Linked DNA regions of Elephas maximus indicus. The protein of the gene in region 2 interacts with the protein of the main gene of each other region in a biochemical or structural test. Links are inferred from orthologs where the notes say so. Each region holds a gene or a part of one and is shown on either strand. Other genes may lie near its edges.

Region 1 (7,685 bases), on a different chromosome or scaffold from region 2:
GACAAGCAGATCTCGACCAGCTATGAGCTGTGTCACAAGTAAATTGTCACTAATGATAGTTAATGTGTCCTATTTTTACACAAATAACAGGCACCTTCTACAGTTGGTCTGCCAACTGCTCCCACCCTTCCCCCGCCCTGCCCCCAGGTATTAAGCACTGCTATGCCAATTTTTTTTTTTTTTCACATGTTGCTGTAAAAAAAATTAGTATAGCATGTTTACAAAAATACCTGGTGGGGGGGAGGAGCTGTTGGTAAACAAATGTAGAAAGTGCGTGTTATTTGCATAAAAATAAGATACTAGGGCTTGTAAATGATTTGAGAATGGATTCAATTTTGTCTCAAGTAAAGTCCCACCTCCACTTAGTTGCAGTCCTCAAATGTTAGTGACTGAAGCACAGTTAAGGGTTGGGGCAATAACCAATTACTCTCCATGCTTGTGAATGATGATTTTGTAGTTCTATTTTCTTTAGAATTTTACCCATGGAAGTATCTTATACATGTGAATATCATCCATTAAGTGGTTGCATGAAGTGAAGGAAAAAAGGTAGGGACTTGCTGCTCTAGGTTATTTGAATTGGCAAGGGGTCCATCATGGGTCAGGGCTGATGGAAGGGGCTGGGGGTTGGGCATGAGCTCTGACCTGCAGCATAGCAGGGTCCTGTGCTCTCCCACGTGACTCCTCAAAACTCTGAAGGACCCAGTCCTGGGTCTGCCGGGAACGGCTGAAGCCACTGAGAGGGCTCTGGCTCTGGGCTGGCTGTTTTGAGCTCCCCACATGGCTGTCATACTTCATGCTAGGGGACAGGTCATTGGGGGACCGACGTTCCCGCTCCTCAAGGGTGTCCCGTTGGAGCCGGCTGTCCAGGCTCTGGCTCCGCTTGCGCTGTTCATGGGGCAATGTCCGTGTACGGCGGCCAGTCCGGCCCCGGGCCTGGCCCCCAAGGCGACCATCAAACTTGTTGATGAGCGAGTCCACTGAGGACAGGGGAGCAGTGTCAATGGTGCTACCTGGGGAGGCCCCCTGGGGGGCTAACTCCAGCAGGCTGGTGCTCCTGTTGCTTGGAGCCATAGGGGTAGGGACTGCCAGTGAGGCCTGTGACTGGGAACGGAGTAGTCTTCCATTCCAGTGGGTCCCAGGCTCCTCATCAGATGCGCTGCCCTGCGAGGAGGCAAGAAACCCCTTGGCCTGAGAGTAGGGGTTCTCGGGGAGTTCCGAGTCAGAGCTCAGAGCTCCTGGGGCCCCTCGGTTGTTGGACCCCTTGATTTGGACCCCAAAGGAGTCACCACCCTTCTCCCCACTGTTGAGCACCACGAAGGGCTGCCCAGCAATGCCCTGCACGCGCACGGCAACTCCATAGGTGTTGGCTCTTGCATCCTTGGCTGGGCGTCGCACACCACGGCGTAGGGTACCCGTCTCGTCACCACCCATTGACTCTGTGATGAAGCGAATTTGGACTCCATGGTCCAGGGGGCCCCGGGGCTCAGCCATGGTAGCTGCCTGCTCCATGGGCAGGAGAGGTCCTGGAAGAGGGAGAAAGGAGATTAAACATTTTATGCCGAGAGACATGAAGTAGAAATCCAGAAACCTCCAGCTGCCCCGCTTTAATGGGGCTAGTTGCCTTGTCAGTTTTTTCTTTGTAGAACAGTGATTCTCATACTTTAACTGAGCAACAAGATCACTAGGAGGGATTATTAAAAAACGCAGATAGCTGGGCCCTACCGCCAGAGTTCCTGATTCAGTAAGTCTGGGGTGGGGGCTTGAGAATTTGCATTTCTAACAAGTTCCCAGGTGATCCTGATACGGCTGGTCCAGAAGAATCCATTTCTTCTGATATAGCTCCGGACAACTTGGTTTTGTTAAGAGTTTAAAAACTTTGATTGATATCCACACATACACCACCATGTCCCTCCTCCTCCTCCCTCAAGAAAGGACAGAACCCAACCCCTGCATGACAGATGTCAAAGTGTGCCATCCCATTTCTGGAAACTATTCAAAGAAAGTGATGCCTCCGAGGAAAGGAACCCAAGGGGTTAGGGGCAAGAAGGGGAGAGTGACTGACTTTCTACTGTGTATCTTTTTGTCCGTTTTGAGTTTGAAACCATACAGATGTATTACCTATTCGAGAAAAAATGTAAATATCATTTTAAGTGTCCCAGTCCAAGGGGCCACACAGCCAAGGCCATCTACAGACTAGCTCCCCAGATCCACATTGCCAAGCTCAGAGTCATCAAATGAAATGTATTCCAGGCATGCTCTGTTCCAGGAAACTCCAAGCAAAGAAAAAATGCAACTTCTCCACCCCTTCTGCTAGTCTCTACCAGAACCTAGCACCAAACTGGAGGAGGTGCCTGTAGCGTACCAGACAGAAACACAAACATGCAACTTGACCTCCCTGCGGAGCTCTGAGCCAAGGCAACTCGGCCAGGTCTGGCAGCCCAGACAACCCGTGTGAGATGAGGAGGGGAAGGGATGTAGAGGGGCAGAGTTCCACGTTAGGAAGGGCTGGTGTGGGGGGAAACAGCCTCCTATCTGAGGAAGCGCATTCACAGCCTTCCCAGCCTTTCCCCTCCACAGAAAAGAATAGGGAAGGAGGAGCCCCTTCTTGGTAGTGGTTCGTTGCCTTTTTTGACACTGGGTCCGCATTTGAGAAAATGATGACAGCAGTGCAACCTCCTCTAGGAGACAGCCCACACAAACTAGTATCGCACAATTTTAAGAGGTCCGTGGATACCTTAAGGCCCAACCGTCAACTTTTGAGGACCCTGGTCTCCCATTTTTTAGGCATTGGGGAGAACCTTAACCAATCTCTAACTCAGATACCCCAAACAGCAAGATATCTTACTGGCAGGATCCAAAATGGGACCAGAAACGAAGCTAGGAGGTAAAGAGGTAAGTTCTCCAAACCACTTATCCAGAGGCAGCCTGGCACAGTAGAAAAGCCACTGGACTAGTCTAACTCTGTTCTCCCTGGAGATGTATAACCTCGGGCAAATCACAACTTTTCTATGCCTCAGTTTCCATCTCTGTAAAAACTGGTATAATGATAATATCTCACAATGTAATTACCTGTGAGAATTAAATCAGACAACAACAAATTACACAGGCATATACCACTGTCAAATTTTATCAAGTTTTACACTTAAGATTTTGTTCTTTATTGTATTTAAGTCATACTTCAATATAAAGGTGGAAAAGTCAAGATATTAAACACGAAAGTACCTAGCAGAGTAGGCCTGTTACAAAGCTGACAATAAATGTTACCTTCACACATGCTGTTCCCTCCAACAGGGACTTCCCGGCTTCACCTGGTTCCTAGAAGAATGTCACTTCCTCAGAGAAGCCTTCCCTGACCATCCCTCCCCACAAACTAGGTCAGATCCATGTTATATCCTCTGCAGTTGTTCTTCAGTAGGTTTATCTCGGTTCGTTTTTATATATTTATTGAAGTCATTATTTGTTTCCTGTCCGTCTCCCCCACAGGATTACAGTCTCCTGGAGGGCAAAGGCCATGGCTATCAGCCGATTACTGTGTCCCCAATGCCTGGCACATGGTAGATATTGATAAATATTTGTGAAAGGTTGTATCCTGAACCAATGCAGACTTGCATAGCAGAAGGAGGAATTGCCCAGGGGTCCCTCACAGTTATGTCTTGTTTTCCCTCATAACAGGACCTCCTCCTGGCCTGAACTCTCTGCCCTACTCATTCACGACTTTAGATCCAGATGTGCCTAGACTGCCAGCTCTCAGAAACCACATGATTTATTCATGATGCAGCTCTCCTCTGTCAGCACATCTACTGATCTTCCAGATCCAGGTCAAGGAGCTCCTGGCCTAGGCCTGAGAGAGTACACAGCCCCTTGCCTGAGAGCACCAGCTCATTGAGAGGCAGATCCAGCACTCCCCCAGGTCCCAATGACTCCCTACCCTCAACCACCTTCAGTCCTGGGACACGTGGGTCAGGGGCCAGGATGGCTGGAGGGAATCTGTGAGGTGGGTCAGAAAGCAGGGCTCTAAATGATTCAGCATGGAAAACCCGAAACCTACCCACCACCTTCGGTTACAGAGGACAGCGGGGCGGGGCCAAGGGAGCAGCGCAGCTGTGGGCCTTGCCAAAGCCCCAGAGGCAGGTAAACAGTGATCTAGCACCAGGCAACATGAAGCCCAGAGCCTGAGCTCTCACCAGATGCCTGACCCTCCTGCCTCCCCTGGCGCATGCTCAGGGTCTCTCTCCACCAACTGTACTCCGGGAAGAGACCAGGCCACACTTAATTCTGTTTTCATCTGTCTGCCTCTGCCACTCCAGCTGGTAAGGAGGGAGGGGACACCCTTCACCTGTTTCAGAGCCACTTCTCCTAGTTACTCATTATCCTGCCCTGCCCCAATTCCATCACCTCTGGCCCAGTCTTATCGCCTGGCATCCAACTAGCAGTGACAGGGTCCCTGGACTCCTGGCAGGAAGTGGGAGTGGGGTGGTTTCAGGAAGGGCTGATATGCCCAAGACCAGGCAGTATGCTAGGTGCCACATATTGGCAGATTCAGAAAATGGGGGAACTAGAGGTATAGAGATTAGACTACCTCTTTCAGGTAACAAGGAAATCAAATGGTCAAAATAGAGGACAGCTCAGTGACTTTGATTGTTCTGCTCCCATTAAAGAGTTACAGAGGTAAGGAGGCTCCCAGTGGATCCAAAAAGAACCCCCAAGTGGAGTTCTGACTGTCCACTGAAAAAGCCAGAAACCTGAGAGCCAGGCTAGAGCTGCTCGGCCAGTGGGAAGAAAAACAATGAGGAACTGGATCCCTGTAAACTGGCTGGACTGGTTTGAGAGGCAAGGGGAAAGGCAGGGCCAGGGAGACTACACTGGCAGCTTGTAAAACAGACCAGAGAAATTCCACACCACATAGGAGGCAGAGGGGCAAGCCTGTGGGTAGGGGTTCTGTCCAGTCTGGCTGCCAAGGCCAAAGCTCTAAAGAGAGAGACAGAAGGTAGGGAGGGAACAGGCAGTGGGAGCAGACACACAAAGAACCCGGTGAGTGACAGGCCAGTGTGTGACAGAAGACTTTGTCTCCCTCTACTCCTCCCTCTCAAGCTCCCAAAGTTGCACTCCTGATTCCACACTTGCCTTGGCCACCCCCCAGCCCTGAGCTCTTCCCTCCCTCGCATGAAGAAAAGCAGCCCACCCCCTCCCATGATAAGTGTCTCTCCCCACATCCCACAGGGGCAATAGCATGCAGGTCAGCCTGTGGAAGGCAGAAAGGGGTTCTAGGACACCAGAATTCTTTAGAGCGAACCAAATCACTAGATAAGCAGCCCCCCAGAGCCAGCTCCCCAAATCCCAAATATCCAGGACAAAAGAAGAGGTGCACAGACACGTGTGGGCAGCCTGTCTACAATATAATAGCGGTTGCTAATTATTTCCCAATTACAACAACTTTCCTCAGGCAGGGCATCAAAGGGGCCAAGCTAAGGCTGGCTCTGGATGCCTTCCCTGCCTAAGGCGAGGAAATCTGCCTCAGAAGTCTTGCCTGGGACCCAACATGCACCTGTCATCTGGCCTGGAGACTTGAAGGTGCTAATTCTCCTAGTTGTGTCTCTCCTGAGGAGTCCTGACTGTTTCCTACAGCACAATGCCTGCCAGTCATCATGGTCGGGAGTCAGGATGCCTGGTGGGGCCTCAGAGAATAAGGGTGATTCTGGGAGGCATCAAGATAAATCGGTTGAGCTCCCAAACCTCACCCAATGGTCTCCATCTAGAAACACAGAAGAAGGTATGTGTGCTGGGGGGAACTGATATCTGCCCAGAGAAAGAGGCCTCGTTAGAAATAAGAATTTCTGCATATTTTATAGGCTCAGGGACCTATGCTTCCTCATATCCTCTCTAAAACCAAAACCATACCTATTGTCATCAAGTCAATTCTGACTCAGAGCAACAGCAGAACTGTCCCGTAGAGTTTCCAAGGCTGTAAATCTTTACAGAAGCAGACTGCCAGGAGGAGCGGCTGGTGGGTTCAAACCACCCACCTTTCGGTTAGCATCCCAGCGCTTAAACACAGCGCCACCAGAGCTCCTTATGTCCCTCTCTAGGAGAGCACTATCTCAAGAAGGAAATTCCTCCCTGGCGTGAAAGCAAAGGCAGACAGAAACCGTATCCCCTGAAATAGTTTCACACCTAGTAAAGAGATGGGGTGGTTTCTTGTTCTCCCCTCAGTGCCTCTTATCTGCAACTGTCTTCACCTGTAGGTGAACGCTTAGAGAAAGGCGCCACACCTCAGAGCCATCTCAAAGCCAGAAAGGAGGCGTCAACAACCAGCTCAGACCGGCACTGGGGTTTCAGGAAAACAGCACCTGCTGATGCCTTCCCCTTACTACCCTGAACCTTAGGCAGCTGTTCCCTCTGCCCAGCTGGGACTAACTCTCCCCGCACCACCCCGATCTCCAAGAGAAACTCTGCCCCTGGGGCTGGCGTCAAACCTCCAGACAAATCCTGGCTCTGAAATGCTTTCACGCACTGAGAAAAATCTTACCCTCAGGTGCCCCTCACCTGGTACCTTGCCAGCAACCTGCCCCAGGCCGCTTAGAGCAGGGGCCAGCTCTTAATCAAAGCTCCTACTCTCCCCTGACCTCCCCTCCTCCCCGCTCCAACTCAGCACCTGTGCCCTGGAAGGGGACATCCCTGGTCGCCGCAACCCCCCGCCCCTCAGGGGTACACCTGAGGGCTCGCTTGCCTCTCAGATGCCCTTGCCTCCGCCCGGTTGACTCACCCCAGCCGGGCTCGGCGCTCTCGGGCTCGCACTCCGGGCTCGGGCTAGAGCAGACCTGCACACGCGACTCCCGGGCCCTCCCACTCGGTCCCCCCGCGCTCCCTCCTTCTCTCTACCCCTCCCACCAACCTGTTACTCCCTACGGAGCTTCACTCCCATTGGCCGTCACCACCCGCCCCGCCCTACCCTTCCTCCGGTTGGTCGGCTTTCCGCGAGAGGCGGGGCTGCCGCCGCAGGGACCCCGGCCGGGGTCGCGAGCAGGGATGGGCGGGGGGGGGGCGGGTCACGTGGGTCGGCGGGCGCTCGGGGGGCGGGCGCTCGGGGGGCGGGGCGGCGAGGGGCACTGGGAAGCCATTTTGGGGGCGTAGCAGTTGGCCGCCGTGACCGCCCTCACCCCTTGCCCCGGAGCTACGCAGCTGCAGCATCTTCTCGCCTCTGCTGGAAGATAACCCCCGCCTCTAGTTTTCCCAACGGGAATCTCGGTCCAGAGCCTCTTTTGTCCTTCACTTAAAAACCCCAACCCAGTGCCGTCCAGCCGATTCCGACTTACAGTCCTTCACCTACCTGCGCATAAACCAAAATACACTCTCATCACTTTCTGCAGAAAAACCTCCCTTGTCCCTCGACATCAGAGCCCAATCCACCTGAGCTCGTCTTCCTTTTCCCCAACTAAACTAGAACCCCAGTCTTGGGTTCTCTTCCCCTACACCCTGGCCTCCACGATCATTTTACAGCCTGGCAACTTTTTCTCCAGTATATTACCTTCTAACTTATTATATGATTTAATTTTTTAAAATCACATTGTCTCCAATCCGACGATAAACTCCACCAGGACTGGGATCTGTTTTGTTCACTGCCTAGAACAGGGACAGGCACATATTAGGCGTTTAGTAATGGTTGCCATCCCTGGTTGTGAAGTGGT
Region 2 (7,795 bases):
GTCCAACCCTTCCTTTACTTACACTGGTATAAGGACAGAGATTCAAGTCCACCTCCAGAGGCACCTTGGATGAAAGGCCTGGGTATCCACTCATGAAAAATCAGCCACTGAAAACCCTATGGCACACTGTCCTACTCTAACACATGAGGTCACCATGAATCAGAATCACTCAAAGGCAGCTGCTTGAACCTTGCAGGCACCCAGTATTTCCATGCAGATTGCAACAACTCAAAGAGAAACAAACAGGGACAGGGAGCATGTAAAGCTTCACATGAATCTTCATAAAGAAGTGCAAACCATGTGTGCCACCGAGGCACCTAAACTGGCATAAGCAGGATGCATTTCAAGTTCTGACACACATTGCTAATGTCTGCTAAGGGTTTCCACGTACCCCCTGCAGTCATAATCCTCATATTTTCTAGCCATGTAATTGCGCCTTACATCTCAAATTCTCCTCCATGCAGTTGCTACAACCCAGTAAAAGGAAACATTATCTAGAAAAAAAAATTCCAGAGGGTTTAAAAGATAAACAAGCACAATATCCTCCAACTTAAAAATAAATAAATAAAGATTATACGCTATGTTTAAAAGTACCACCCACTCTGAGAGTGTTTGTAGAGTGTGCGCTTCATTTTGTCACTGCAGAAACTAGACTAACATTTGCATATCCATTTCACACTGAGTAGAAATTCTGAAGTGGTCATCTAAGATTATGGAAAAGTCCATCAAAATCCTCTGGCGTTTTCCAAGCTATCTCTTAGAAAGATGGTTTTTATCATGGCTTCCAACCAGTTTGTTCCTGCTGAGAATTTGCATTTCTAACAAGTTCCCTGTTGAGAATTTGCAGTTTCACCCCAGATATACTGAATCAGAATCTACATTTTAACAATACCCCCCAGGTGATTCTTATGTATAACTTCCTGGGAACTTGCTAAACGCGAATTCTCAGCAGGGGTTAAACCAGTGAACATCCGAAGCCCTGGTTTTTATCCCTGGCCTAGTCCACTGCGTGCCTCAAATATGAATCTCCACAGAATAAAAGTTACACGGATTTCACTTGATTGTGTCCTCTCTTCACAAACTCGATATTCTGGGAATGTATTTACAGAAGCAGTGCTCCAATGATGAAAACGAATAAACTTAGCTTCCTCATTTTGTGCCCAATTGCTGCTAATATTCATGCCTAACAGCTCCTCAAATATTAATTCCACACTTTAATTTTTAAATATAACATCAAGCAAGCAAATTTCCTTGACTTTCTTTCTCGATCATGTATGACTAATAATTAATTTATTCAATAAACATTTATTGAGAAGCTATTTTGTACCAGGGGATCTCTGCAGGGGGTTTGGCAGTGAACTAAGCAAACGGAAAGGGGCAGTGATGGCTCCCTCAGTGGTAGAATTCTCATCGTCCTTGTGGGGGAAAAAAAGGAGACCCACGTTCAATTCCTGACCAATGCACAGCCACCACCCATCTGTCAGTGCAGGTTTTCGTGTTGCTATGATGCTGAACAAGTTACGGCAGCACTTCCAGACTAAGACAGACTAGGAAGAAATGCCTGGCAATCTACTTGTGAAAATCAGCCAACGAAAACCCAATGGACCACAACAGTGTGACCTACAACATCCATGGTGCATGGAATCACTTGTGCACGGAGTTGCCACTAGTCCCGCCAACTTGACAGCAGCTAACAACTATAAACAGGTAAAAGGCCCACTGCCCTTAAGCAACTAACAGTCTAGTACTGGGAAAGGCAATTACATGAAAAACAAGTAAAATACTGTACTTTTACACAAATATCTTTATGGAGCCCTGGTGGTGCGGTGGTTAAGAGCTCGGCTGCTAACCACAAGGTCAGCAGTTCGAATTCACCAGCCGCTCCTTGGAAACCCTATGTGGCAGTTCTACCCTGTCCTATACGGTCACTATGAGTCAGAACCGACTATACCACTTTGTTGTTGTGTGGTTTCTGATGTATCTTTATATACCTCGAATCTTCCTTTCATGTTGTCTTACACAGCAGAATTGCTCCTCAAATGCCTAAAAGCAATCTTGGTTCCTTTTTTCTAAAACCTTAAATTATCAGTTTAATCTTGTCTATTTTTTTTTTTTATATACTCACAGTCTTTTTACTTGATTACTTGTTTTTCGATAATGCCTTGCACCTAAATCTCAAATCAATGTAATGCCTCGAACGCCACTGGGGTTCCATGTGACATAATTTAAATGGCAATAAAACAGAACACACAACCTGACACACATCTGTATAACTTGCAGACATTTTTCTTTATGGGCTTTCTTTTCCTGTCACCTCAATAATAGTTTTCAGGCGAGGAACTGCAACTCCTGCCGATAAGGCATAGCCCCTGATAATGCAATGATAATCTCACGATTTATTCCCGTTTACATGGGACCAGCTTGTCCTCTGCCATGTACCCAACAGCAGATGGACTTTGAAAAAATCACAATAAGCGCATAACGTGACAACAAAATTTTCGCTGCCTCCAAGAAAGCCTGGCTTGAAATTCTGAGCCAGAACTGGCTGGGACCGAGACCCAAGGGCCGACCCCCAGGCGGGAGACCAGCGCCCCGAGGGGCCGGGCCCGGCCCGGCCCCCTCCCGGCCACGCGCGGCGCTACGTGTCGCCGGGCACAGCCGAGGGTCGCGGCGGAACATGTCCCCGGTGCCGTGGGAGGCGGCGGCACCCGGCCCCCGGGCTTCGAAATGGCTGCTGCGCCCTGCGCGCTCCGCCGGCGGCCTCGCTGCCCGGCCCGGCCCGGCCCGGCCCCCGCCCGGCGCGGCCACTGCCCCGGCGCCGCCACCCCCGCGCGCGCCGCGCTCACCACAGCTTCCTCTTGAGCGGCAGGAGGCTGCCGCGGTTGGACGGCGTGACGCCGATGGCCATCTGCAGCACCGTCAGGTATTTCTGGTACTTCATCTTGTCCCCGCTCCGCTCGCGGGCAGGGCCCCGCCGCCGCCGCCGCCGCCGCAGACACAGCCCCTCCAAGCGCCGCATAGATCAGCTCTGGGCCATCGGCCGCGGCCGCCGCCACAGCCCCCGCCACTCCCGCCGCCGCGGCGCTGTGCGCCCGGCCCCGCTCCCGTCCCGCCGCCGCCGCCGCCGCCGCCGTGCGTGCCCGCCGCTCCCGCCGCCGCCGCTCCCGCCTCCGTGCGCGCTCGGGCCCCGCTCCCGCCTCCGTGCGTGGTCGGTCTCCCGCTCCCGCCGCCGTGCGCGCCCGGGCCCCGCTCCCGCCGCGCTGTCGTGCGTGGCCTGGCCTCCCGCTCCCGGCCTCGCCGCCGCCTCGCTCCCCCTCCGCCTTCGCGAGTCCTCCGCGCGGCCTGCGGATGCGCCCCGCCGGTGCGCACAGAGGGAGCGGCGCGCGCCGGCCTCACAGCCCGCCAGCCTCGCCTTGCCCCGTCCTGGAGCTGCGGGCAGAGGCCGGGGCGTCCCCGCGCCCCCTCGGGCTTCAGTTTTTTTCAGCTGCTGACAGAAAAACCAAACCCGTTCCTGTCGACTCTAATTCTCTCTCACAGCGACCGTATAGGACGGAGTAGAACTGTCCCATAGGGTTTCTAAGGCTTTAACCTTTACCGGCGCAGACTGCCACATCTTTCTCCTGCCCAGCGGCAGGTGGGTTTGAACAGCCGACCTTTTCATTAGCAGCCAAGCACTTAATCTCTGTGCCACCAGGGCACCGTAGCTGCTGATAGGAACTTGCTTTTAACTGTCCCCAAAAGAATCCCAACAGTACACATCCAGAATGAATAACAAAAAAAAAAGAATGACAGTAATTTTTAATTTATAATTACGATGTAATGATTTGTAACCTCATCTATTCTAAAGTTTTTTTGTATTTATATCTATAGATATAGATAGGGATGTGTGTGTATATATATATCTATGTTGATTTATCTACCAGCTGCCACCGAATCCATTCAAACTCATGGAATCCCACACTACCATGCAAAGTGAGCAATATATATGTCTATGTATATATACATATATATATACACACATATGTAAATATATACCTTGCCTTGTATTTATATTGTGTCTAAAGTGAGGAATATATATGTGTATTATGCATATATATGTATAAAAAACCAAAAACCAAACCCACTGCCATCGATTCAATTCCAACTCATAGTGACCCTTTGGCAGAGAGCAGAACTGCCCCATAGAGTTTTCGAGGGAGGGCTGTTGGATTCAAACTGTTGACCTTTTGGTTAGCAGAGCTCTTAACCACTGCTCCACCAGGGCTCTGTGTGTGTGTGTGTGTGTGTCCATACACACACACACACACACACACACACACACACACATATATATATAAAACACTTGGTTGCTAACTGAAAGGTTGGAGGTTGGAGTCCATCCAGAGCCATCTTGGAAGAAAGGCCTAGCAATTTATTTCTGAAAAATCAGCCATTGAAAACTCTGTGGAGCACAATTCTGTCGTGACACACATGGGGTCGCCGTAACTTGGGGTTGACTTTAGGGCAAGTAGCTGTTCTTTTTTCATATACACACACGTGTATTCATTGCTTTGCACAGTAGTGCAGGAATATACAAATGACTGCAAACCTTGCAAAATGATCTTAATAATAAATAATAAAAAAATATGATTTGGGTCAAAACATTAAAAGCTCCCCAACAAAATATTAGCCAATCAAATCCATTGGCATGGTTAAGGGATTAAACACCAAGACCAAGAAGGATTTATCCCAGGAATGCAAGAGTGGCTCAAGGTAAGGAAACCAGTTAGCGTAATATACCACAGTAATAGAAAGAAGGAAAAATAAAACATGATTATCTCAATAGATGCAGAAAAGCATTTAATACAAGTCAGCAGCCTTTCATGATAAAAATTCTCAGTACACTAGGAATAGAAGGGAATTTGCTCAATATGATAGAGGCCATTTATGAAGAGCCCACAGCTAACATCATACCCGGTGTAGGTAAGACAACAGAAAGCTGTCGCCTTAAGATCATGGACAAGACAAGGATGCCTGTTTTCACTACTGCTGGTGGCGCAAATGGTTAAGCACTTGACTGCTAGCTGAAAGGTTGGCAGTTCAAACCTACCTGGAGGCACCTCAGAAGACAGACTTGGTGATCCGCTTCCCAAGGATCACGACCTTGAAAACCCTATGGAGTGGCTCTACTCTGCAACACGTGGGGTTGCCATGAGCTGGAATTGACTCAACAGCAACTAATAACGACAAAAATTTAATGTTGTGTTGGAAGTCCTAGTCAGAGAAATTAGACAAAAGAGAGAGAGAAATAAAAGGTGAAGTAAAACTGTATTTGCAGATAACATGATTCTATACATGAAAAGTCTTAAAAAATCCACAAAAACTACTAGAGCTCATCACCAGTCAGCAAATTCAGCAAAGTTGCCGGGCACAAAATCAGTGGACTAAAATCCGTTGTGTTTCCATGCACGAGCAATGAAGAATCCATAAAGGGAATCTTAAAAACAACTTCATTTACAATAGCATCCAAGAGAATAAAATGCCTCAGAATAAATTTAACCAAAGAGGTGCAAGAATTGTGCACTAAAAACTACAAAACATCACGGAAAGAAATTAAGGAAGATTTCATTAAATTGAACAACAATTCATGTTAATGGCTTGATAGACTTAACATGAAGTTGTCAGTACTACCCAAAGTGACCTGTTAGATTTAATGCATTCTCTATGAAAATTCTAATGGCCTTTTTTTCTTTTCCTTTTTACAGAAATGAAAAGGCTGATCCTCAATTCATGTCGCATGTAAGGGGTCCTCATTAGCCAAAACAATCTTGAAAAAGAACAAAGTCATAGGACTCACACTTCCCAGTTTCAAAACCCACTGTAAAGCCTCAGTAATTAAATCAGTAAGGTAGCATGCTAGCCTACTAGCGCAAGGATAGAGACACAGACCAATGGACTAGAATTACGAGTACAGAGATAAGCCCGTACGGCTGTGGTGAACTGATTTTTGACAAGGGCACCAAGACAATTCAATGGGGAAAGAATAGTCTCTTCAACAGATGGTGTGGGACAACTGGATGTCCACATGCAAAAGAGTGAAGTTGGACCCCTACCTCAAACCATATATGAAAATTAACTAAAAACCGATCAATGACCTAAATGTAAGAGATAAACTCATAAAACTCTTAGAAGAAAACATAGGATTAAACCTTCATGACCTCAGATTTGACAATGGATTCTTGGATATGACAGCAAAAGCACAAGCAACAAAGGAAAAAAATAGATAAATTGGACTTCATCAAAACTGAAAACTTTTGGATATCAAAGAACATTATCAAGAATGTGAAAAGAAAATTGACAGATAAGAGAAAATATTTGTAATTTATACATCAGATAAGGATTTAGTGTCTAGAAAACAAATGGAACTCTTACAACTCAACAACAAAAAGAAACAATTCTATTTTATAGATGGGTAAAGGACTTGAATAGCCATCTCTTTAAAGAAGATATACAAATGGCCACATGAAAAGATGTTCAAGATCATTAGTCGTTGTTGTGTGCCCACAAGTTGATGCCAACTCATAGCTGCCCTACATAACAGAGTAGAACTGCCCCATAGAGTTTACTAGACTGTAATGTTTATGGGAGTAGATCACCAGGTCTTCAAAACCACAGTGAGCTATCACTTCACACCTACCAACCGGAAACCTTGGTGGCATAGTGGTTAAGAGCTACAGCTGCTAACCAAAAGGTCGGCAGTTCAAATCTACCTGGAGCTTCTTGGAAACTTTAGGGGGCAGTTCTACTCTGTCCTAGATGGCTATATAAAAAAAAAAAAAGGCAGAAAATGGAAAATAACAAGTCTTGGCAAAAATGTGGAGAATTAAAAAAACCCTTGTTTGTTGGTACTACGAATGTAAAATGATGCAGCTGCTGTGGGAAACATCCAAGATACACGAAAACGTATATCTACACAAAAGCTTATACACAAATGTTTGTAGCAGCATTATTCATAAAAGCCCAAAGGTAGGAAACCCATATGTCCATGAACGGATGAATAAAGAGAGGACTGTGCTGTACCCCTACCAAAACCAAAAAAACCAAACCCAGTGCCGTCAATTCCGACTCATAGCGACCCTGTAGGACAGAGTAAAACTGCCCCATAGAGTTTCCAAGGAACGCCTGGCGGATTCGAACTGCTGACCCTTTGGTTATCAGCCGTAGCACTTAACCGCTACGCCACCAGGGTTTCCTGTATCCCTACAATGGAGTATTATTCAGCCATAAAAAGGAGTGAACTACCAATAAATGCTACAACCTGTATGTACCTTGAAAAAACATTAAATGAAAAGGCCAGTCACAAAAGGTCACATATTGTATGATTTCATTTATATGAAATGTCCGTAGAGACAGAAAGCTGATTAGTTTGCCGATGGATGGGAGGAGGGAGGGAATTGGGTGTTTTTCTGAGGCGGTGAAATTGTTCTGAAACTAGAGAGAGATGGTGGTTGTACAACATTGTTAATGAGCTAAATACCACTGAATTGTACACCTTAAAATACTTAATTGTGATATGAATTTCACCTGAATAAAAATAAGATTGTGGGGTACTGGCATAAGGATAGACATATAGATCATTGGGATAGAATTAAGAGTTCAGAAATAAACTCATACATTTATGGTCAACTGATTTCAACAAGTGTGTCAAGACAACTCAGTGGGGAAAATTTAGTCTTTTCAACAGATGGTGCTGGGACAATTTGATGTCAGAGCGCAAAAAAAAAAAAAAATTCGGTTGGACTTCTGCCTCACACCA

What was found.
Region 1: the proteins of TJP1 (region 2) and CGN form a complex in vitro, tested with the Homo sapiens proteins (2 studies listed by BioGRID and IntAct, with this or other methods). The link is inferred for Elephas maximus indicus from reciprocal best matches to the Homo sapiens genes TJP1 and CGN.

What each region holds. Positions count from the first base shown.
Region 1 is NC_064821.1:185,570,137-185,577,821, reverse strand, and holds the start of CGN (cingulin), read right to left. Parts: upstream 3,324-7,685; 5' UTR 3,275-3,323; coding exon 3,265-3,274; intron 1,524-3,264; coding exon 643-1,523; intron 1-642. UniProt on the Homo sapiens protein: Probably plays a role in the formation and regulation of the tight junction (TJ) paracellular permeability barrier.
Region 2 is NC_064831.1:94,002,066-94,009,860, reverse strand, and holds the start of TJP1 (tight junction protein ZO-1), read right to left. Parts: upstream 3,035-7,795; 5' UTR 3,020-3,034; coding exon 2,847-3,019; intron 1-2,846. UniProt on the Homo sapiens protein: TJP1, TJP2, and TJP3 are closely related scaffolding proteins that link tight junction (TJ) transmembrane proteins such as claudins, junctional adhesion molecules, and occludin to the actin cytoskeleton.